Saccharomyces cerevisiae S288C: one gene and its partners. The protein of the gene in region 4 binds, or shares a complex with, the protein of the main gene of each other region. Each region holds a gene or a part of one and is shown on either strand. Other genes may lie near its edges.

The links.
Region 1: REF2 (region 4) and YSH1 share a complex: the UniProt entries of both Saccharomyces cerevisiae proteins name them as parts of the cleavage and polyadenylation factor (CPF) complex.
Region 2: REF2 (region 4) and PFS2 share a complex: the UniProt entries of both Saccharomyces cerevisiae proteins name them as parts of the cleavage and polyadenylation factor (CPF) complex.
Region 3: REF2 (region 4) and SWD2 share a complex: the UniProt entries of both Saccharomyces cerevisiae proteins name them as parts of the APT complex.

The regions. Positions count from the first base shown.
Region 1 is NC_001144.5:695,982-702,399, reverse strand, and holds YSH1 (cleavage polyadenylation factor subunit YSH1), read left to right. Parts: upstream 1-2,904; coding exon 2,905-5,244; downstream 5,245-6,418. Other genes in the region: YLR278C (uncharacterized protein), read left to right, coding at 1-2,401; DBP9 (ATP-dependent DNA/RNA helicase), read left to right, coding at 5,570-6,418. UniProt on the Saccharomyces cerevisiae protein: Component of the cleavage and polyadenylation factor (CPF) complex, which plays a key role in polyadenylation-dependent pre-mRNA 3'-end formation and cooperates with cleavage factors including the CFIA complex and NAB4/CFIB. Has endonuclease activity.
Region 2 is NC_001146.8:37,563-43,192, reverse strand, and holds PFS2 (cleavage polyadenylation factor subunit PFS2), read right to left. Parts: upstream 2,575-5,630; coding exon 1,177-2,574; downstream 1-1,176. Other genes in the region: prephenate dehydratase PHA2, read left to right, coding at 118-1,122; HXT14 (Hxt14p), read left to right, coding at 2,864-4,486; YNL320W (uncharacterized protein), read right to left, coding at 4,639-5,493. UniProt on the Saccharomyces cerevisiae protein: Integral and essential component of the cleavage and polyadenylation factor (CPF) complex, which plays a key role in polyadenylation-dependent pre-mRNA 3'-end formation and cooperates with cleavage factors including the CFIA complex and NAB4/CFIB.
Region 3 is NC_001143.9:401,733-406,721, reverse strand, and holds SWD2 (WD-repeat containing protein SWD2), read right to left. Parts: upstream 2,621-4,989; coding exon 1,631-2,620; downstream 1-1,630. Other genes in the region: ATP-dependent 5'-3' DNA helicase HCS1, read left to right, coding at 1-1,532; MCO12 (Mco12p), read left to right, coding at 2,843-3,142; RAM2 (bifunctional protein farnesyltransferase/protein geranylgeranyltransferase), read right to left, coding at 3,204-4,154; SPT23 (Spt23p), read left to right, coding at 4,642-4,989. UniProt on the Saccharomyces cerevisiae protein: The COMPASS (Set1C) complex specifically mono-, di- and trimethylates histone H3 to form H3K4me1/2/3, which subsequently plays a role in telomere length maintenance and transcription elongation regulation. Involved in mediating RNA polymerase II termination.
Region 4 is NC_001136.10:844,643-850,700, forward strand, and holds REF2 (RNA-processing protein REF2), read left to right. Parts: upstream 1-3,956; coding exon 3,957-5,558; downstream 5,559-6,058. Other genes in the region: FG-nucleoporin NUP42, read right to left, coding at 1-219; MSS116 (ATP-dependent RNA helicase), read right to left, coding at 1,310-3,304; YDR194W-A (uncharacterized protein), read left to right, coding at 3,429-3,581; CAB5 (putative dephospho-CoA kinase), read right to left, coding at 5,632-6,058. UniProt on the Saccharomyces cerevisiae protein: RNA-binding component of the cleavage and polyadenylation factor (CPF) complex, which plays a key role in polyadenylation-dependent pre-mRNA 3'-end formation and cooperates with cleavage factors including the CFIA complex and NAB4/CFIB.

The DNA of each region.
Region 1 (6,418 bases), on a different chromosome or scaffold from region 4:
ATTTGTAGAGACTTTACAGCTATTGAAAAACGATTCCAGGTCAGTGAAGCAATCCATTGATCAATTGCCCCTAGTACGAAAATTTTTTGAAGATTTGGAAGTTTGGAGAAAAAGTTATTCCACTCTTGACGTGAAAAATTTCGAAAACGAGACACTAAAACTTTATTACTATAGATCAGTGCGATTGCTTATACAACCATATTTGGAATTTTTCGCCCCGGAGGATAGACTATTTAGAGAATGTCAAGCTGCTGCGGGTCAAATTTGTCAGTTATACAAGATATTCCATCAAAAAACGCTTAATGGTCATTCTACACCAGCAGTGCATACGGTTTTTGTAGCTGGCGTAACTTTAATCTACTGTATGTGGTTAGCCAGGAATTTTGACGATCAAAGGAGGAAGAAATTAGGCGATGCTTCGAAGCATACTAGACCTTTAATCAGTGCAAGTCTCTTTTCGACGATGGATGATTTGAGAGCTTGCTCCGTTTGTTTATATGTTATGACAGAAAGGTCTAATTTTGCAAGAACCTTTAGAGATACTTTCGATCAGTTAATGAATGCCACGGTAGGTAATTTGATTGAAAGATGTGGTCCAGACTCTTCTGAGTTAATTTTCATGGCTAGTAGTGTCGCCAAGCGTACTGAACCCAAGAACATCAATGATGAGGCCAATAAGGCAATTTCATCTGGGGATACTCTTCATGATTCTAACTCCGCAAATGCAGCTAATCTATCCAATTCAAACGATAAAAATATATCTCATAATGGCGGTATGCCGCCTGCTGTGGCTAGAATATTTGGTAAAGGACAAGCTGAAGAGCACGCCGGTTTTGTGGAAAATTCACAAGTGGATTTGGCTGAACAAGAGAAATTCAAGAAGAAGCAAGGTGTTTTAGAAAAGACCTCTGTACCCAAAAGTTTAGCTCACCTATTAACCAAAATGGATGACAGGTCACGTATTTCAAATTCTTCAATGTCTTATACAACATCTTCTTCGTCATCATCTTCTTCTTCGTCATCATCGTCGACATTATCGTTTCCTTCTTCCCAAGAAAAAAACCTGAAAATCAATGTAAACAATGATAACAATGGTATGACCATCAGCAGCGTCAACAGAGAACACAACAATAATCACAACAATAATAATGATAATAATAATAATAATAACAATAATAATAATAATAGTAATAATAATAATAATGTTAATAATAATGATAATGAAAGTAATAGCAGAAGCACTACCAACAACAGCTGCAATAATGGCAACAACAGCCAGTATGTTCGTAACAACAACGTAACTATGGAAAATGATGTAGAAAGGCCTATTCAAGACCAATATATCGTCAAGAAACCAACCAACCAAACAGAGTTTGATTGGCAAGTATTTCAACAGCAGGCCTTTCTACAACAGCAACTAGCTCAGCACAATTTACAAGCGTATCTATCGTCCCTGAACACCGATACTATGACCAATAGAAGTCCTTCAAAATCTTCTAGCATATCTACAGCCTCTTCGCATTCGGATCCGATTCCAATAGCGATGACGCAAAGCCCAACTCCATATCCTCAAACTTCCAATATGCTACCGCAACAGCATGTATCACGACCACTGCCGCAACAACAGCGGGAGCAGCCACAACAACATATTACTTCTCCACAAAGATTCTCAGAAAGCAATTTTACGAATCAATTAAACAATGGTATGATCAACAGTAATCCTCTACAATCTGCAATATTCTCTAACCATACAAGTGAAAATAAGCAATTAAGAGATGTCGAAGAATCAAATTTCAGTACATCACCCCTAAGAGCAGATTATGGCAATAATATTATCTCCTCGATACCAGCGTCATTTACTAGCAATTCAATTCCGGTCAGTGTCAAACAAGCTCGAAATGGCTCTTCTTCGGGCGATATACTTTTCAGCAACGGTGCTCATGACATGATCAACAATATTTCCACCTGGACCAATAACTCCGTTCTAGATGCTTTGAATAGCAAGTCCATACTACAAACAATATTTCCCCAGAGTCAAGAGCCTTCATCTCTGTCCATGGACAAACAGCAGCAACAACATCAACAACAAAATATGTGTTCTGAAAACAATGTAACCGCTAATAATTTTCAACAGACGCAGAATGACCCTTCGTATAACAGAAATTTGTTCATGATGTCCAATCAGGAAGGTGTACAATATAATCTTGACGAAACAGAGAAGAATGGACCTAAAACACAGGTGGAAGCAAACACTAGCGCAAATCTGCATTTCGACAATGTTATTCCTACAGTAACTAACGCAGACATCAGGAAAAAGCGTTCTAACTGGGATAACATGATGACATCTGGTCCGGTAGAAGACTTTTGGACGATTAATGATGACTACGGCTTTTTAACGTGATACTACATTAATATAATAGTATGTACAAACTCATTCCTTTTTTTTTTTTTTTTTTTTTTCTCTTTTTTTTTAAAAGAACAACTAAATCGCTTTTTTTAATTATGATATGGGTCATATCTTATAAGCCTAATCTAAAACACATTTTTTTCTTTCATTTATATTGTTTTTAAAATCAATAAAACTCTTTCTTTCCTGTATAAAGTCCTCTCCAAAAGACTAAGTAGCGTGTTTGCAAATAAATACGGGTAAGCAGTTATTCTGGCCGAAAATTATGAAAAACTAGCGGATCTTTAACAACTTCTACTGCTTCAGCGCAATACATATTGAGATCACATCTAATAGGTTCAAAATGTTCACGGGTATAAGCGTTTATTTCTTTTACCCTTGTTTTCAGTACTTCAAAAGTTACAGCACAAAAGAAACATTGTATTATCAATTGAATTTTGTCCATTGAGGAAATAAAAAGTAACATAATAAGTTAACATTAATAAGTATACGCATATATGGAGCGAACAAATACAACAACATTCAAATTTTTTTCATTGGGAGGAAGTAACGAAGTTGGACGATCATGTCATATATTGCAATATAAAGGTAAAACAGTGATGCTCGACGCAGGAATTCATCCGGCATATCAAGGATTAGCTTCATTACCTTTTTACGATGAATTTGATCTTTCCAAAGTCGATATCTTACTGATATCACATTTCCATTTAGACCATGCCGCTTCACTTCCGTATGTGATGCAACGGACTAACTTTCAAGGCAGAGTTTTCATGACACATCCAACCAAAGCCATTTACAGATGGCTACTGCGAGATTTTGTAAGAGTTACTAGTATAGGTTCTTCATCCTCCTCTATGGGGACTAAAGACGAAGGTCTATTCTCAGATGAGGATTTAGTTGATTCTTTCGATAAAATTGAAACGGTGGACTATCATTCTACTGTTGACGTCAATGGTATCAAATTTACGGCATTCCATGCAGGCCATGTATTGGGTGCAGCGATGTTTCAAATAGAGATTGCTGGCCTTAGGGTGTTATTCACAGGTGACTATTCGAGAGAAGTAGATCGTCACTTAAATTCTGCTGAGGTGCCTCCACTTTCATCCAACGTATTAATTGTGGAATCTACCTTTGGTACCGCTACTCACGAGCCCCGTTTAAATAGAGAAAGGAAGCTAACCCAACTAATCCATTCCACAGTGATGAGAGGAGGCCGTGTTCTACTGCCTGTTTTTGCTTTAGGGAGAGCTCAAGAAATCATGCTTATACTGGATGAGTACTGGTCTCAACATGCTGATGAACTCGGTGGTGGACAAGTCCCAATATTTTATGCATCAAATTTGGCAAAAAAATGTATGAGCGTTTTTCAAACCTATGTAAATATGATGAATGATGACATTAGAAAAAAATTTAGAGACTCTCAGACTAATCCCTTCATATTCAAAAATATATCTTATCTTAGAAACTTGGAGGATTTCCAAGATTTTGGTCCCAGTGTGATGTTGGCCTCACCAGGTATGCTGCAAAGTGGGTTATCAAGAGATTTACTTGAAAGGTGGTGCCCTGAAGATAAAAATCTAGTACTAATCACCGGTTACTCCATCGAAGGAACAATGGCGAAATTTATTATGCTTGAGCCAGATACAATACCTTCCATAAATAATCCGGAAATAACCATTCCAAGACGTTGTCAAGTTGAAGAAATCTCCTTTGCCGCACACGTTGACTTCCAGGAAAATTTAGAATTTATTGAAAAGATTAGTGCGCCAAATATCATCCTTGTTCATGGAGAAGCCAATCCCATGGGCCGTTTGAAATCTGCATTGTTATCCAATTTCGCGTCTTTAAAGGGTACAGATAATGAAGTCCATGTTTTTAATCCTAGAAACTGTGTTGAAGTAGATCTTGAATTTCAAGGTGTCAAGGTTGCAAAAGCTGTGGGAAATATTGTGAACGAAATATATAAAGAAGAAAACGTAGAGATAAAGGAAGAAATTGCGGCTAAAATTGAACCTATAAAGGAAGAAAACGAAGACAACTTGGATTCTCAAGCAGAAAAAGGTTTGGTTGATGAAGAGGAACACAAAGACATAGTCGTTTCTGGGATTCTAGTTTCAGATGACAAAAATTTCGAATTAGACTTCCTTTCTTTGTCTGATTTAAGAGAGCACCATCCCGATCTTTCTACAACGATATTAAGAGAGCGCCAGTCAGTTCGTGTAAATTGTAAAAAGGAGCTAATTTACTGGCACATTTTACAAATGTTTGGAGAGGCTGAAGTTCTTCAAGATGATGATAGAGTAACAAATCAAGAACCAAAGGTTAAAGAAGAGTCAAAAGACAATCTGACCAATACAGGTAAATTGATTCTACAGATAATGGGTGATATTAAGTTAACTATTGTTAATACTCTAGCCGTTGTGGAATGGACTCAAGATTTAATGAATGACACTGTAGCAGACTCCATTATTGCTATACTTATGAATGTGGATTCAGCTCCCGCCAGTGTCAAGCTTTCGAGTCATTCTTGTGATGATCATGATCATAACAATGTGCAGTCTAATGCACAAGGTAAGATTGATGAAGTTGAGAGGGTGAAGCAAATCTCAAGGTTGTTTAAAGAACAGTTTGGTGACTGTTTTACTTTATTTCTCAATAAAGATGAATATGCAAGTAATAAAGAGGAAACTATAACTGGAGTGGTTACCATAGGTAAAAGCACTGCTAAGATTGACTTCAACAATATGAAAATTTTAGAATGTAATTCAAATCCTTTGAAAGGTAGGGTGGAAAGCCTCTTAAATATTGGTGGTAATTTGGTCACACCGCTATGTTAAAAACAGTTACGCATACTAAGTAGACTACTTTATAGAAGTAATACCAAACCAAAATCTGGTTAGAACTGCCTTTTATTGTTTACCTTAATCACTCTTTACGTAATGAAACCTAGAGATGAAATTTTAAAAATTTTTTTTCACGAACATAAAGAATAACTCTTCTAGACCATCTCATCTCATCTCATCTCATCTCATTTCATTTCGATTCTTCTAATTTCTTTCATTGAGTAAGAGCCTTTTGTTTTGGCTGATAGTTATAGTCAATCTACAATTTATCTCACAAAAGAAATAGACTAAGCCAAAACTGCAACGAAAGATCAAAAAAATGAGCTATGAGAAAAAGTCTGTGGAAGGCGCTTATATTGACGATTCTACAACGTTCGAAGCATTTCATCTCGACTCTCGTTTATTACAAGCTATTAAGAATATAGGATTTCAGTACCCAACATTAATTCAATCACATGCTATTCCTTTGGCTTTACAACAGAAGAGAGATATTATAGCAAAGGCCGCTACAGGTTCCGGAAAAACTTTGGCATACCTCATTCCTGTAATTGAAACTATCCTAGAATATAAAAAAACAATTGATAACGGAGAGGAAAATGGTACACTAGGTATTATACTTGTTCCAACAAGAGAACTGGCTCAACAAGTATATAATGTTTTAGAAAAACTAGTCTTATATTGTTCAAAAGATATAAGAACTCTGAACATATCATCCGATATGTCTGACTCAGTTTTGAGCACTCTACTTATGGATCAACCAGAAATCATAGTTGGTACACCTGGTAAATTATTGGATTTGTTGCAAACAAAGATTAATTCTATCTCATTGAACGAACTAAAATTTTTAGTAGTTGATGAGGTGGATTTAGTGTTAACATTTGGTTATCAAGATGATTTAAACAAAATTGGAGAGTACTTACCATTGAAAAAAAATTTACAAACATTTTTGATGAGTGCAACCCTAAATGACGATATACAGGCTTTGAAACAAAAATTTTGTCGTTCTCCAGCTATTCTTAAATTCAATGACGAGGAAATAAATAAGAACCAAAACAAATTACTTCAATATTACGTTAAAGTCAGTGAATTTGACAAATTCTTACTATGCTATGTCATTTTTAAACTTAACTTAATCAAGGGTAAAACATTAATTTTTGTAAATAATATT
Region 2 (5,630 bases), on a different chromosome or scaffold from region 4:
TTTTCATAATGAAAAATGAAAATAAAAATTTTAGTAGATGAATATAATACGCAGAAAGAACAGGCTAAAAAAGTACGAAAAGCAACTTCATTATATTTCCGCATTCATCCTTCAATTATGGCCAGCAAGACTTTGAGGGTTCTTTTTCTGGGTCCCAAAGGTACGTATTCCCATCAAGCTGCATTACAACAATTTCAATCAACATCTGATGTTGAGTACCTCCCAGCAGCCTCTATCCCCCAATGTTTTAACCAATTGGAGAACGACACTAGTATAGATTATTCAGTGGTACCGTTGGAAAATTCCACCAATGGACAAGTAGTTTTTTCCTATGATCTCTTGCGTGATAGGATGATCAAAAAAGCCCTATCCTTACCTGCTCCAGCAGATACTAATAGAATTACACCAGATATAGAAGTTATAGCGGAGCAATATGTACCCATTACCCATTGTCTAATCAGCCCAATCCAACTACCAAATGGTATTGCATCCCTTGGAAATTTTGAAGAAGTCATAATACACTCACATCCGCAAGTATGGGGCCAGGTTGAATGTTACTTAAGGTCCATGGCAGAAAAATTTCCGCAGGTCACCTTTATAAGATTGGATTGTTCTTCCACATCTGAATCAGTGAACCAATGCATTCGGTCATCAACGGCCGATTGCGACAACATTCTGCATTTAGCCATTGCTAGTGAAACAGCTGCCCAATTGCATAAGGCGTACATCATTGAACATTCGATAAATGATAAGCTAGGAAATACAACAAGATTTTTAGTATTGAAGAGAAGGGAGAACGCAGGCGACAATGAAGTAGAAGACACTGGATTACTACGGGTTAACCTACTCACCTTTACTACTCGTCAAGATGACCCTGGTTCTTTGGTAGATGTTTTGAACATACTAAAAATCCATTCACTCAACATGTGTTCTATAAACTCTAGACCATTCCATTTGGACGAACATGATAGAAACTGGCGATATTTATTTTTCATTGAATATTACACCGAGAAGAATACCCCAAAGAATAAAGAAAAATTCTATGAAGATATCAGCGACAAAAGTAAACAGTGGTGCCTGTGGGGTACATTCCCCAGAAATGAGAGATATTATCACAAATAATATGTTATATAGTCTTTTTATTTATGTATCCTAAAATCTCGTCAAAGCGCACTTTTATATGCTTAAACCTGGCAATGTGGAACTCTTGATGTTTGAATCGATGCCTGGGATTTCTTGACGCGGTTTCTTGTTGATGAATCCATTCATGTTTGGTAACGCATGTGGTTCAAGTGTAGCTGGTGGTGGCGGGGCCGCACCGAATTCACTCTTCTCTCTCACAGCATTGATGTCGTTATTGATGCCAAAAAACCATCCATTTATCTTCTTATTGTTATAAGTTGGATCATCATATGCATTAGGATCAATTGGCCTCGCTCTAGTCCAAAATCTTATGGTTCTATCCTTAGCTGCTGTGGCAAATATATGTCCTACTGGATTATATGATAACGAGGTGATACACTTATCATGGGCGTATGGAATAGTCAAAATAGGTTCGTTTAGATTTTGTAAAAGATCAAAATGCTTTAGCGAGCCGTCATAGCACGCCAGAGTGAACATAGATTCATTTATTGGGTGCCATTCTAGTGTCATATAATCCGTTTCATCTCTTACACACATTAGTTCCTTCATACTGTATCTAATGTCGAACACACGACACGATTTATCTTTTGAAATCGCCATTAATAGATTTCCCTTGGTGGGTTGAAATCGCGTCTTCAAGACAGTATGTTTGAACTTCAGAATTGATGATATGCAGTTTCCGGAACGCGGATCCCACAGTTTTACTAAATTGTCCTTAGATGCGGAGGCAATTAACCCCATCTCGGGATGCCAATCACAACTTTTCACGTCCCAGTGGTGCCCCGATAATACTCTTTCTTGTTTGCCATTGCTGAAGTTCCAAATCTTCAAGATATTATCATCTGAACAGGTAACAAATTTCGAGTCGTTACTACTGAATGCCATATCCCTAATACTTTCCGTGTGTGCAGCATCAATTTCTTTAACCATACTAAAGTTTGGTTGCCATATCTTAATCATTCCATCTGCGTCCCCACTAATCATCCAATCACTGTCGTGAGAATATTTCATTGTAGTCACAGCCGAATCATGTGCTTGCATGAGGGTTTCAAACGTAAACGAAGATGCGTTCCATAGAGAAAATTCTCCGCTATAAGTTGCTACTACAAGTCTTCTGCCTTCTGGGGTCCATTGGATGGCGGGTATCACATGTTTCACTTTATTCGAGCTTAAATGCGTAAATTTGCTGGGCAAATTTATGACTCGATCTCGACCTCTGTAGGCATTAGGCGGCATTATATCTATTGTGTATGAAGTTTCTGGCTCTACCACTAGGTTCGGTAATCCATGTCGTCTGTTGTAATATAGGTTAATATACGGAGAACTCACGTCTACCGATCGTCTCTGTGTCACATATTTCTTCAGAGGTGGTTGTTGTGACTGCTGAATTTGATTCTGATTCTGGTACTGGTTCTGATTATGCCCGTCCATAACGTGTCTATGTTGAGCTTCTTAATATCTACCCAGCAACCTGTATATCAGTGCTTTCTTTAATTATACTTCCCTTGACAAATCGATACGTCGGCCCTCAAAAGAAGAGGAAAAAAAATAGAAAAAAAAATAGAAAATAAAAATGTCAGTAATTCTAATGATGACACAAATTCAAATAGCAACATTGAATACTGTTTAACAGAACAATTAACCACTTTTAATTAGAAATACTAACAAAGAATTTGTTAACGTATTCTTAGGAAGTAAAGTACTTCAATTATTGCTAGAAATGACTGCTCAGATTCCGTATCAACATAGCTCGGGATACATCTCTCATTTTCACAATAATGAGCTTGATGCAGGCAGGGGAAGGGATTATAATGTAACCATTAAGTATCTAGATGATAAAGAAGAAAATATAGAAGGCCAAGCAGCAAAGATTAGTCACAATGCGAGTCTGCATATTCCCGTTTTATTGTGCTTGGTAATCTCGCTTGGTGGCTTTATTTTTGGATGGGACATTGGAACCATCGGTGGAATGACAAATATGGTTAGCTTTCAAGAAAAATTTGGCACAACTAATATTATCCATGACGATGAAACAATTTTTGTATCTACTAAGAAACTTACTGATCTGCAAATAGGCCTAATTATCAGTATTTTTAACATCAGTTGTGGCGTAGGGGCTTTAACTCTGTCAAAAATCGGTGATTGGATTGGTAGGAAAGGTGGTATATGGTTTGCCTTAGTAGTGTACTGCATCGGTATAACCATTCAAATTCTCTCCTATGGAAGGTGGTATTTTTTGACATTGGGAAGAGCCGTAACGGGAATCGGTGTGGGAGTAACCACTGTCTTGGTGCCAATGTTTCTCTCCGAGAATTCTCCACTAAAAATCAGAGGCTCCATGGTATCTACGTATCAATTGATTGTAACATTTGGCATACTAATGGGAAACATTTTAAATTTCATATGCGAAAGATGTTATAAAGATCCTACACAAAATATAGCCTGGCAATTGCCATTGTTCTTGGGATACATTTGGGCAATTATAATTGGAATGTCACTTGTTTACGTTCCTGAATCTCCACAGTACTTGGCAAAAATCAAAAATGATGTGCCCTCTGCTAAATACTCTTTTGCGAGGATGAATGGCATCCCTGCGACGGATAGCATGGTAATTGAATTCATCGATGATTTGCTGGAAAATAACTATAATAATGAGGAAACTAACAACGAATCAAAAAAGCAAAGCTTAGTTAAAAGAAACACATTTGAATTTATTATGGGAAAGCCAAAGTTATGGTTGAGACTGATTATTGGTATGATGATAATGGCATTTCAACAGCTGTCCGGAATAAATTATTTCTTTTATTACGGAACGTCTGTTTTCAAAGGTGTCGGGATTAAGGATCCTTATATTACTTCAATCATACTGTCAAGTGTTAACTTCCTTTCTACGATATTAGGCATATATTACGTGGAGAAATGGGGCCACAAGACATGTTTATTATATGGTTCAACAAATTTATTATTTTATATGATGACATATGCTACTGTGGGGACATTTGGAAGAGAAACGGACTTCTCAAATATTGTTTTAATTATCGTGACTTGTTGTTTTATTTTTTGGTTTGCAATAACATTGGGCCCAGTTACATTTGTACTAGTGTCCGAATTGTTCCCTCTAAGAACGAGGGCCATATCAATGGCTATTTGCACATTTATCAATTGGATGTTCAATTTCTTAATATCACTTTTAACACCAATGATTGTATCCAAAATTGATTTCAAACTAGGATACATATTTGCTGCTTGCCTATTAGCGTTGATAATATTCAGTTGGATACTAGTTCCTGAAACGAGGAAAAAGAATGAGCAAGAGATCAATAAAATATTTGAACCGGAGTAGATATTACATAATATAAATAGAAGAAGTAGCAAAGTGCAGTTTTTTTTTCCATAATAAATAACCATCAGTAACTAAGTGGCCGTGAGGACTGACCACATTTTCTTTACATACAGTAAAGTAAATAAATCTATCAAATATTTTGATTATTACTTTTAGATAAAACCCTTCTCTATTAGAAAATCTCTTATTATATCCCAGTACCCATCTTGAATAATAGTATCATTGTGTGAACCAAGTGGAAATTCGAAAATCTTTTTGTTCGAACTAGGACATGTTTCGTACAGTTTCCTCATGTGGAAGGGTGGAACGATTTCATCTTTTAATCCACTTAAAAACAAGAATGGCGTCTCTGAACTACAGCTTCCCATAAGGCCTTCTGAATTCCAGATTTCGTGACATAAAAGCGTAAAGCGTTTCAAAAGGGGGAAAATATATGGGATAACTTTTCGAATACTCAAAAATGTATTCTCCAGTATAACGCCATCGCATAGATCCCGAAATTTTGAAGCAATGTAAAGAGCATTAGCACCACCTAGAGATCTACCATACAATACTAGTTTTCTCTTTGAATGGAAAGAATCCGTTGACAAATGCGATATGACACAATCAGCGTCCAATTTCAAACCCTTTTCGCTGGGTGAACCTTCTGAGTTACCATAACCACGATACGAATAAATAAATACACTCATTCCAAACTGACGATAGAAAATGTCAATTATTAGTATAAAGTATCCAATATTACCGGCATTGGGACATAAGATCAACACAGTACTTGTTGAGTTTTCATTCTTGATATCCCATGCCTCGAGTTTAATGTGGTCTTGTGTAATTAGGGTTAGCTTTTCATAAGGGATTCCACGGGAATCAGGAGTGTCAACATGATTCCTGGCGCCTTGAGCCCATGATGGGTAGACTAGGCGATTTTGGTAGTGATAAAGGGTCGCAACCGATATTGTTGTTAGCGCTACCAAGCCACCCAAGAACATCTTAGAAACTTTCCACAACATGAGACCAGAAAAGGATTCTACAGTGCAATTGACGGAGAAATAAAAAAGGGAGCAGGTGTGGGCTTGATTCGAGTTATTTCGAGGAACGCACCTCTCTAAGTATAAGAACAACCCAATTGTGAGTAGATCAATTTAAG
Region 3 (4,989 bases), on a different chromosome or scaffold from region 4:
CACCCATACAAGACAAAATTATACAATACTTGGTAAACGAACGCCCCTTCATCCCCAATACAAACAGCTTTCAAAACATTAAATCTTTTTTAAACCCGAATCTGAATGACTCCCAGAAAACTGCCATTAATTTTGCCATTAACAATGACTTGACCATTATACATGGTCCTCCTGGTACGGGTAAAACATTCACATTAATTGAATTGATCCAGCAATTGCTAATTAAAAATCCTGAGGAGAGAATCTTAATTTGTGGGCCTTCCAATATTTCTGTGGATACGATTCTGGAGAGGCTAACGCCTCTTGTGCCGAATAATTTATTATTAAGAATCGGTCATCCTGCTAGGCTATTAGACTCTAATAAAAGACACTCTCTTGATATACTTAGTAAAAAGAATACTATTGTGAAGGACATTTCCCAGGAGATTGACAAATTAATTCAGGAGAATAAAAAACTAAAAAACTATAAGCAACGTAAAGAAAACTGGAACGAAATTAAACTGCTGCGCAAAGATTTAAAGAAAAGAGAGTTCAAAACCATTAAGGACTTAATAATACAATCGAGAATAGTCGTCACCACTTTACACGGTTCATCATCGAGAGAACTATGCTCCCTTTATAGAGATGATCCAAATTTCCAGCTTTTCGATACCTTGATCATCGATGAAGTCTCACAGGCCATGGAACCACAATGCTGGATCCCACTAATTGCACATCAAAATCAGTTCCACAAACTAGTCCTTGCTGGTGACAATAAACAATTGCCACCCACAATCAAAACAGAAGACGACAAAAATGTCATTCACAATTTGGAAACCACACTATTTGACAGAATAATCAAAATATTCCCGAAAAGGGATATGGTAAAATTTCTTAACGTTCAATACAGGATGAATCAAAAAATTATGGAATTTCCATCGCACTCAATGTATAATGGGAAACTATTGGCCGATGCAACGGTCGCGAACAGACTTTTGATAGACCTACCGACCGTCGATGCTACGCCATCTGAGGATGATGACGATACAAAAATTCCTTTAATTTGGTATGATACGCAAGGTGATGAATTTCAAGAGACTGCAGATGAAGCTACTATCCTTGGATCTAAGTATAATGAGGGCGAAATTGCCATTGTAAAAGAACACATTGAGAATTTAAGGTCATTCAACGTCCCGGAGAACTCTATAGGTGTTATTTCTCCATACAATGCACAAGTTTCTCATCTGAAAAAATTGATCCATGATGAATTAAAATTAACTGATATTGAAATATCAACTGTAGATGGGTTCCAGGGCCGTGAAAAAGATGTTATCATATTGAGTTTAGTTCGTAGCAATGAAAAATTTGAAGTTGGTTTCCTTAAGGAAGAACGAAGACTGAACGTCGCCATGACAAGACCCAGAAGGCAACTAGTTGTTGTTGGCAATATAGAAGTTCTGCAAAGGTGCGGTAACAAGTACCTAAAAAGTTGGTCAGAATGGTGTGAAGAGAACGCTGACGTAAGGTACCCCAACATTGACGATTATTTGTAAAGAATACACAAGATGTATAGAGTATACGTCGTTATACAGTAGGTAAAAAATGTTCGTTATATATTATATCCTCTAGTATATCAATGCAGTAGCAGCAGTCATTCATCGTACACGTAAAAATCTACTGTTTCGTCTGCGGTAACAAACATCGAATATTTAGGGTTGAATGCAATTGACCTGGGGCAGGTCTCATGAGAAACACAGGGAATGAACCCTTGCGGCCTTAATACTTTGTTACTTATTGAATCAGAATGATTCCAAATGGCAATCCTACCGTCATAATCGGTTCCAAGGACGAATTCACCATCTGGTGTGAAACAAGCAGATCCAGAATCTAGAAATTCTCTCATCGGGAAGGCCCTTGTTCCTATTAGTTCGAATAATTGTTGACCTGTGAATGCGTCAAAAATTAAATGCTTTCCTATCGAGGAGCCAACTAATAAATACTTTCCATTGTTAGAAAATTCTAATTTATTCCATTGACTGAAAGTCGCATCATTAATTTTAATTATCAAGAAAGGACCCTCCTGAATTTTTTTCAGATTATATAGCCCTATTTCGAAATTCTCTGGGTTCCCCAATGCGAATACAAGGCCACTTGGATCATATGCGATACAATTTGGTACGAGACTTGGTATAATAACTTGCGGTTTAGAGATCTTCAAATCCCAAAGCCTAACGGATTCATCGTATGACGACGATAGAAACGTATCGTTCACGGGGTTCATCTTCAAATCATTCACTAGGGCGCCATGACCGGAAAAATATCTTAGATATTGGTTTGTTTCCAGATTAAGGTATTTAATGTCAAAATTTTTCATTGTAGAGGAATAGATACATTCGTTTTGTGCGTGCGTAAAGATAGCGGAGTGACAGCCATATTTCTTAGAGGCTATAGTGTCCAAGAATTTGCAGTTCGTGGCACTGTACAATTGCATTGTATCGTTGGAAGAAGAGGTCAGTAGAAACTGGCCATTATCGTCGAAATTCAATGAGGTTACGGGTCCGCAGTCTTTTTCTTGAGGTTGAAAGCTTTTAACATGCTTGAATTTCAGCAGGTTGGGCTTATTGATGGACACGGTGGTCATTGTTGGCTATGCTAAAAGGACAAACGGTGTATTTGCTTGTGCTTTGCTCGATATTTTAGTCTTGCTTTCATTTTTTTTCTTTCTTTTTTAATGTACTAGTGCTAAACTGCATGAAGAAAAAATGGGTAAAAAAAGGTATCGAATAAATGAGTGTAGGTAACAGTTAAACAGCAAAAAGAAGGAGCAAAAGAGAGTGAAGATCAGATCGTAACATATTGCAAGATGTTGGGAATGATAAGGTGGGTAGTAGAGGGGACGTTGGTAGCTATGCTCCTATCGGCAATAAGAAGGGAGACGGGAATGATATTCTTTTACAACCAGTATCAGTTGGGCGGCTGGATACATAGATATCTGTCATGGGGAGAGATGTGCTACACAAGGACGCTGAAGATGGTTAAACGTTCTAAATTTTTCAGAAAGCAGTTGAACGAGGACGGGTTTGGACGCATCAATGATAGCGGTCCAAAACGAAGGGGAAGAGATCAATCTCAATACAGCAGTAGGTTTGTAGAACTAGATTAAACTTGCGTGCATGCACGTACACACGTAAATATATTCGTACAAATAGAGTGCTTACATATATTCAGTTCAGATTATTTATTTTGTGGTGCCACAAGTTTTTTCTAATAGGATCGTATTTGATTGCTAGCAAGCTATAGGCCTTAACAGCGTTGTCTCGGGTACAAGGGTCTGCCCCCCAGTGATATGCCAGGAATTCCAGGGCATATGAGGACTCGATCTCGGGCAAATCCTCTGGTGAGCCAATTGGAAGTGACAATACGTCACCGATGAAGGTTGTGGCGAAGTCGACTACTTTGCTATCCCACTGTAGCCTATCATGGAATAGCTCTTGGAAACCACGGAGGTAGGTCCACGGACTGATGTTCTGCGGAACCAATTGAATCTTGTCCATAATGAACTGGAGCTCGTCGGCCAATTCCACTTTTGAAATGACATCTTTAGCGTTCACCCAGTAAAACATCCTATGAGTCCATGCGCTGTTGTTATAAATGTCTGTCTCGATGAGGTCGCTGGCGTAGGCGAGCTCATGTTGAAAGTCACTGAAGAACAAACAGCACCACTTTCTGTACGACCAAACGTGATAATTCTTGGAATCATCATCAATCATCAGTTTTAAGATAGGCAGCTCTCTTTTGAAGGAAGGAGACGGATGTAGCTTCAAAAGAGACTGTCTATAGGACCAGATCTGATAGTTCTTTGGATTATTCAGCGTAACTTCATCTAGCCAGTCTAATTCCTTGTTCAGGTACAAGACAGTGTCTTCGGATTCACTCATCATGTGCCTGACGATATTGAATCGGTAGTTCCATATGGTGTAGAAGGCTGGCGCCACGTCGATAATTTCGGCTGTTAGCTGTAGTGCCCTGGGTGACAGTTCGTTAAGGCTGATCAGAGCCCTTGCGAGTCCCATCAACCGCTTATAATCCTCGGTATACATAATCCTGCACAGTTCATCCTGCAAGTCTGTCTCAATGGGCAAAGGTTTAACGTCTGAATAATCGTACTCCTCCATTTTCGATGGTGTACGTTGTATCAGCACTTGATATATAATATACCATAATTAACAGTCTTGCAGTAGGTCTGCACCAACAGTTAAGGACCAATTTAACAGAATGTCAAAAGCGAAACTTTGCTGATGTGTTTTATCACGAGGCCCAATCGAAAACCGGCGCGAGCACTGCTGCAACCTTCAAAAATGAGAGAGCGCTTCCCAGCAGGTCTCTAGTTGCATATGGATAGCGTCATGATGAATATAGGTCAGCATAGGGCTCTGGAAGGCCTGGCATTATCGGTTATTGTCGCTATTGCTGCCCTTTTCTCTGCTCGTGTAAGGTGACATTGTTGTATTCCCGCTTTTTTCGTTTCAATTTTAACGGCAAGGAGCAACCATGAAAGTAAGATGATCGCATGAACTGAAAATGTCAACGAAACTCATTCAAAATAATTATACTCTAGATATCCTCTAAACGACTAATCACAACAGTAGTACACCACTGAAAATGATGAGTGGCACAGGAAACGTTTCCTCGATGCTCCACAGCTATAGCGCCAACATACAGCACAACGATGGCTCTCCGGACTTGGATTTACTAGAATCAGAATTACTGGATATTGCTCTGCTCAACTCTGGGTCCTCTCTGCAAGACCCTGGTTTATTGAGTCTGAACCAAGAGAAAATGATAACAGCAGGTACTACTACACCAGGTAAGGAAGATGAAGGGGAGCTCAGGGATGACATCGCATCTTTGCAAGGATTGCTTGATCGACACGTTCAATTTGGCAGAAAGCTACCTCTGAGGACGCCATACGCGAATCCACTGGATTTTATCAACATTAACCCGCAGTCC
Region 4 (6,058 bases):
GCCAGTATTGCCTGTATTGGTACCAAACTGGGGCATTCCAAATGCTGAAGTGGTGGTTCCTCCTGTCATTGTGTTTGCTGTTCCAAAACTAGGTCTTCCAAATGCACTTCCTCCCATGTTATTGGTACTAGCAGCATTATTTGTGAAAGGGTTGATACCACTTGTATTAGAAAGATTAGGCTTAGCACCCGACGTGAATGGGTTACCGAAAGCTGACATTACAGTTGAGTCGTTGCTCGGGTCGAAATTTAATGATAGCTTGATGAGCTTTTGCGTTAAAGTACAACAGTTCAGTGTTATAGTACTTTAAACATTGTGCGCTCATCTATTGATTCACTATTTTTTTTCAAATACCTTGCACCCTCAGTCGGCGTGTTTCTTGATATGCAGAATTAATATATTTCTAGATGTCAGTATATTAAGGTTAGCCCTTTGAAACGTATTATGATGTCGTTACCTTCAGCGTCGTGGTTTAGGTTTCATGTCTTGTCCTCTCGCGAATACTTTTATTTCGAAGCTAATTTACTATATAAAGAAGGTTGAAATCGCATGATAAGCTAAACAGCGTAAATAGAATTGCCGGAGCAAAATTCGTATAAGACATAATTTCCCTCCAGGCCGTAGCCAGATTAATGCTCAGTACACTGTAAAGAATTTTTTGTTTATTTTTAAGATAAGACAAGATGTCATTGATATTATTGCTAGATCACTAACAAATGGTATTTATTGATTTTTCTTTCGCAGAGCGGCACTTTAACTAGGATTTAATCATAAAAAAAAAAGTGATTGACACTGTTATTCAGTTCTGGACTATCGTATAGACTATTTTCATTGTTAATAGGCTCAGCTGTTCATAAAATATGTGAAAATTTTTCAACGATTACCAAGCCCACGATTGTCTCGTTGGCAATATTCAGAATGAAGTTTTCGTAATATGGCTATGTCCGTGATCAATCGCCTAAGACACCCTGACTTTTCAAGTAAATTCTCAAAAGCTTTCTTCCATCCGTTTAAATAAGAATTACAATGTTAGAATTACTTTTCCTTTGAGAGGAGGAAGAGCGAAAGTAAGAATGGAGGTACCGGTCGTAAATAAGCATTGACGAATAAATATACCAGTAGGATCTTCGTATAGTTATCATTTTAAGAGAATAGGAGAAGAAAAAAAATTTTTGTTTAATATTTATATACTAGGTATTTACACGTGAAAGTATTGAATCAAGATGGGGTCTAAAATACAGGCGTCTTAATAGAGGAATTGTTATTTAAAATACAACCCACATCTCTTGGTCCTCCTTTTTTATCTTTTCTAATATATGTTGCTGTTTCTACTGGAGTAATTATTTTTATCATTACTACGGGAGAATGAGCGTCTATTGTTGTTGCTGCGTCTAAACGGTTCGTCATCGTAATCTCTATTTTGGCTCCTATTATTATAGTTTTTGTTGCCTCTGAAAGAAATTTCTGAATCATCATCATAATCGTAGGACTTGTTATTTCCATCTCTACTACTATAGTCTCTAATTTCAAACATTGCCTTACCAATTGGACTACGGCTCAAACCTAATTTATCTAAAAACCTTCTGGATACTGGAATCTTTAATTGAGGATCATTTAACAGTACACCATAAGTGGAAGCAATTTCAGGAAGTATGCGCCTTTCAGAAAACCTGTATTCCTTGATACAGGATCTGTAGGATGAGATTAAACTTATTACAATATCTGATATGTCTTCCGGTTCTTCGGTCACTGCCTCTAGGACCTCAGATTTTATTTCTTCACTGGGCTCATATTTTTCTTGTTTGGCAATGACTATATTTTTTGCATCTTCCAACTCTCTAACAAATGGCAATTCATCTTTACAAATGAATAGCACAGAAGATCCTTCTTTCCCACTTCTGGCTGTTCTACCAATTCTATGAATATAATTAGCCAACTCAGATGGAACACCAATTTGCAAAACTTCGTGGACGTTTGGGAAATCCATACCACGGGCTCCCACATCCGTACAAACCAAAATACCGGATTCATCTTTTTTGAATCTTTTAACTAAACTTGTTCTTTTATTTTGAGTAATTTTACCATGAAATTCCAAAATTGGTAAATCTTTCTTAAATTCATTCTTTAAAATACTGCACAAAAAGGATGTGAATTTAACAGTTGGTGCAAAAATAATGGCTTTGTAATTAGAATCTCTTTCCTTTATTTGTTTCTTTATATGCTCCACAGCAGCAAATATACTATTGGCAAACTTTTCTGAAATGACGACAGACTGATCAATTCTTTCATGTGCTTCAGGTTCATTCTTATCTACTGTGTCTAAAAAGAGACATTCTTTTTTATTCATGATATTGTTTGCCAACTTTTGTACTTTGTCGTCCAGAGTAGCAGAGAACAACAAAGTCTTGATATTATCGGCTGATTTGGAGTTCTTTTCATTTAAAATACCAGAAATAGTTTCTAAATCATCCCTGAATCCAATTTCTAGCAATCTGTCAGCTTCATCTAGCACTTTGTAATCTACGAACCTAAAAAATTTGTTGGAGTATTTTTCCAAAACATCAATCAATCTCCCTGGAGTGGCAATTACAATGTTTGGTCTCAACTTATTCATTTTATTCATAGCTGCCCTGAAGTCAGTACCACCAACTAAAGAGACACAAGCGTACTTTTTCAAGCCATAATTCATATCGTGGATTTTTTTCACCTCTGCTTCGATTTGCAAGGCCAAATCTCTTGTTGGTGCGACAATAACAGCTTTTACCATATATTGAGAATCGAACTTCGTATTTATCAAATGCTGGAAAATTGGAATCAAGAAGGCAAATGTCTTACCTGTACCGGTTTTAGCTCTTGCGATAACATCATGGTCTTCACTGGATAATATTGGTTTGATAGTCTTTTGCTGTACAGGAGTTAAACCGGGAAATTCCATCCTGGTAATGGCTTTATGTATTTCTTTATCAAGGACTCCTTCCTCCAGTAAAGAGTCCAGCGTTACTTCTTTACTATTATCTTCTTTTGGGACGTGAATTAGTTTGGAAAAAGTGGTCTTATCAAAGTGCACTTCATCATCGTCTTCTCTAGACCTTGTCCTTGGGCGAGAATTGAAACGGGAGTTTCTATACCTGTTACTGTTGTTGTTTCTCTGATTCCTACCAAAATTTCTTTGATCTCTGTTTCCATCATTGTATAATCTTCTTGAAACAGCCCAAGTAATATGGTTGCAATTCGAGAGAGCTGCTAATAAATTTCTGCTTGCAAGAACAGGTGTGCGACCTTTTATCAATATAGAGGTCAACATTTATCAGCCTAACGTGCAACTCTGGTATTTTCTTGCCACTCTGAGACACCATAGTGGCCATCAATACTTCCCTTCTTTTTATAGGAAAATTTTATTCTTTCTATAATATCACTACAGACGGAGAATGAAACAGATGATGATTGAAGCATCCATAAGTAAAGACACTTTGAGGTTGCTAATTTGCTTTTTTGAAATAAAACAGTGCCATATATCACTCCAGCCTACTTGTTATTATCAGAATTGGGTACGGTATTCATCTATATATTACCAGTTGTAAATCACGATATATCACGATACACGACTCTCCGGCGCCAGCGTTTTTCGTCAGTTTTTCTCAAGGCGGTATAAAAAATCGATGATATTCGATTGAGGCACTTGTTAACAAGCATACACTGTTGGAGGCAGAACAAAACAAGCATAACTCTTTTGTACTGTATTGTACTCTACCGCTCTGTATCACGTCGGCACACCAACGGTTTCTTTTGGCGGGTCTATTATATATATTATATATACTTTTATCAAGACATCGTGTGAGTAAGTGAGGTTAAAGCTCAAAAACCTACAAGCAAAGGCACAAGGAAATCGAAAGGACCAAGAAAGGAAAAGAAAAGAAACGATACGATAAGTAAAGACACTGTGGAAGAATTGAACAATGTCAGCACCTGTTCCTCAATTAGTAAATATTTCTCATGCCTTGCAAGCTTCCACTATCCAGCAAATTCGTTTGGATATGGTAGATTTTAATAAAGATTGCAAATTATCTTCCATTCAACTGGCAAGAATTGACAAGTATATCGATTCTTTGCAAGCGGCTTTGAATCAGTTTACCAAAGATAACTTGCACATAGAACGGAAGGAAAAGAACGTGACTGAAGCAGATATACAGCTGTATTCTGGCTTAAAATCAATGTATCTAGATTATTTGAACCAGCTAATTAAACTAAAGCATGAGAAACAACACCACTCTACACCGCCCATCGCTAATGATGTCTCCCTGGACTTCTTCGTTAACCAATTGCCTAAGTTTTCTCCCGAGGAAAGGAAAAATTACATTGACAATTTAATCCTGAATAAAAATAGCCATAATCGATTATCTAAAATGGATGGTCTGGTAGATGCAGTCATCAATTTATGCGTCTTGGATACTTCCGTTGCTGAAAATGTACGATCCTATATGAAATTATTAGATACATTGGGTTTCCAAAAGGGTTCGAATAGTACTGGTACAAAGGCCAACCTCAAAAAGAAATTGGCTAGTTCGAAAGCAAAGATAAAGGATTCAGAAAAAGAAAAGGAGAAGGAGAAGGATAAATCAAAAGTCAAGATGAAAACTAAATTAAAACCTTCTCCTTTGCTCAATAACGATGACAAAAATTCTTCTCCATCGCCTACTGCATCTACCTCTTCAATGAAGAAATTGAAGTCGGGTTTATTCAATAAAAATGAAGCTAAGTCTACAGAATCTCTACCTACTTCTTCCAAGAAAAAACTATCATTTTCTAAATATCTGAACAAGGATGACGCAGATATGACCAAGCTTGGGACTAAACGGTCAATAGATGTGGATTTCAAAGTCAACCCCGAAGCATCCACGGTGGCTTCTAATATCATATCTTCGTCAACGTCAGGATCGTCAACCACAACGGTAGCGACTCCTGCTTCTTCAGAAGAGCCCTTAAAAAAAAAAACCAAAATATCCGTGCAAGACTCTAATGTACAATCGATTTTGAGAAATGGTAAACCGAAAAAAGCACGCATAAGTAGCATCAAATTTTTGGATGATTCCCAACTAATAAAAGTTTACGGTGACGATCTACCGAACCAAGGGCTACAAGTTTCTCCTACTCAATTGAAAAAAATTCTGAAACCATTCAAGGAGGGGGAACCGAAGGAAATTATATTGTTCGAGGATATGTCAATCAAATTAAAACCTCTTGATTTGATGTTTCTGAAGAACACAAACAGTGATGACTATATGGATATATCCGAGACTAAAGGTGGCCCAATACATTGTGAAACAAGGACCCCGTTGATCTATAGAAAAAATTTCAATCATTTCAACCCGGACTTGAATAAAAGGCCGCCAAGAGAACCCATAGAATTCGACTTAAATGGAAATACGAACTCAACCCCGACTATAGCAAAGGCTTTCGGTAAAAATAGTTTATTACTAAGGAAGGACAGAGGTGGTTTGCCATACAAGCATGTCCCCATAGTAAAAAGAAATAAATATCCTCCAAGACCAGTACACTAAGCTATGACATGCTGATACATAAACATGTAGTATATATACTCATTTTATATAATGTAATTATAAGATATCAACCTTATACCGCTGAAGACTTTTTATTTTGAAGTTTTTTCATCAGTAATCTGGACATGACGATGCTACTGGCACTTACGGCCCCAAAAGGTGGGAAATACTCCAAAACAGTTCTTAATTTACTAGGTTGGATTTTTTTTACAACACTTTCAATCTGTTCGTATAAGTCAACCAATGTGCTGTTATTTTGTAGGATATAGTCAGATCTTGCCATCCTTTCTTCAGTGCTCATTTGACTATTTAGCCTGTTTTTTGCATCTTCTTCACTAAGTTCAGGATTTCTTGTCATTAATCTTTCTAGTTGCAATTCTTGCGTACAAATTACGCTTACAGTCACTCCGCATATTGAATCCAGATTTCCTTCAAATAAGAGTGGCACATCCAATACACACATTCTATATCCCTTCAAGTAATAGTAGCCAATTTCTTTG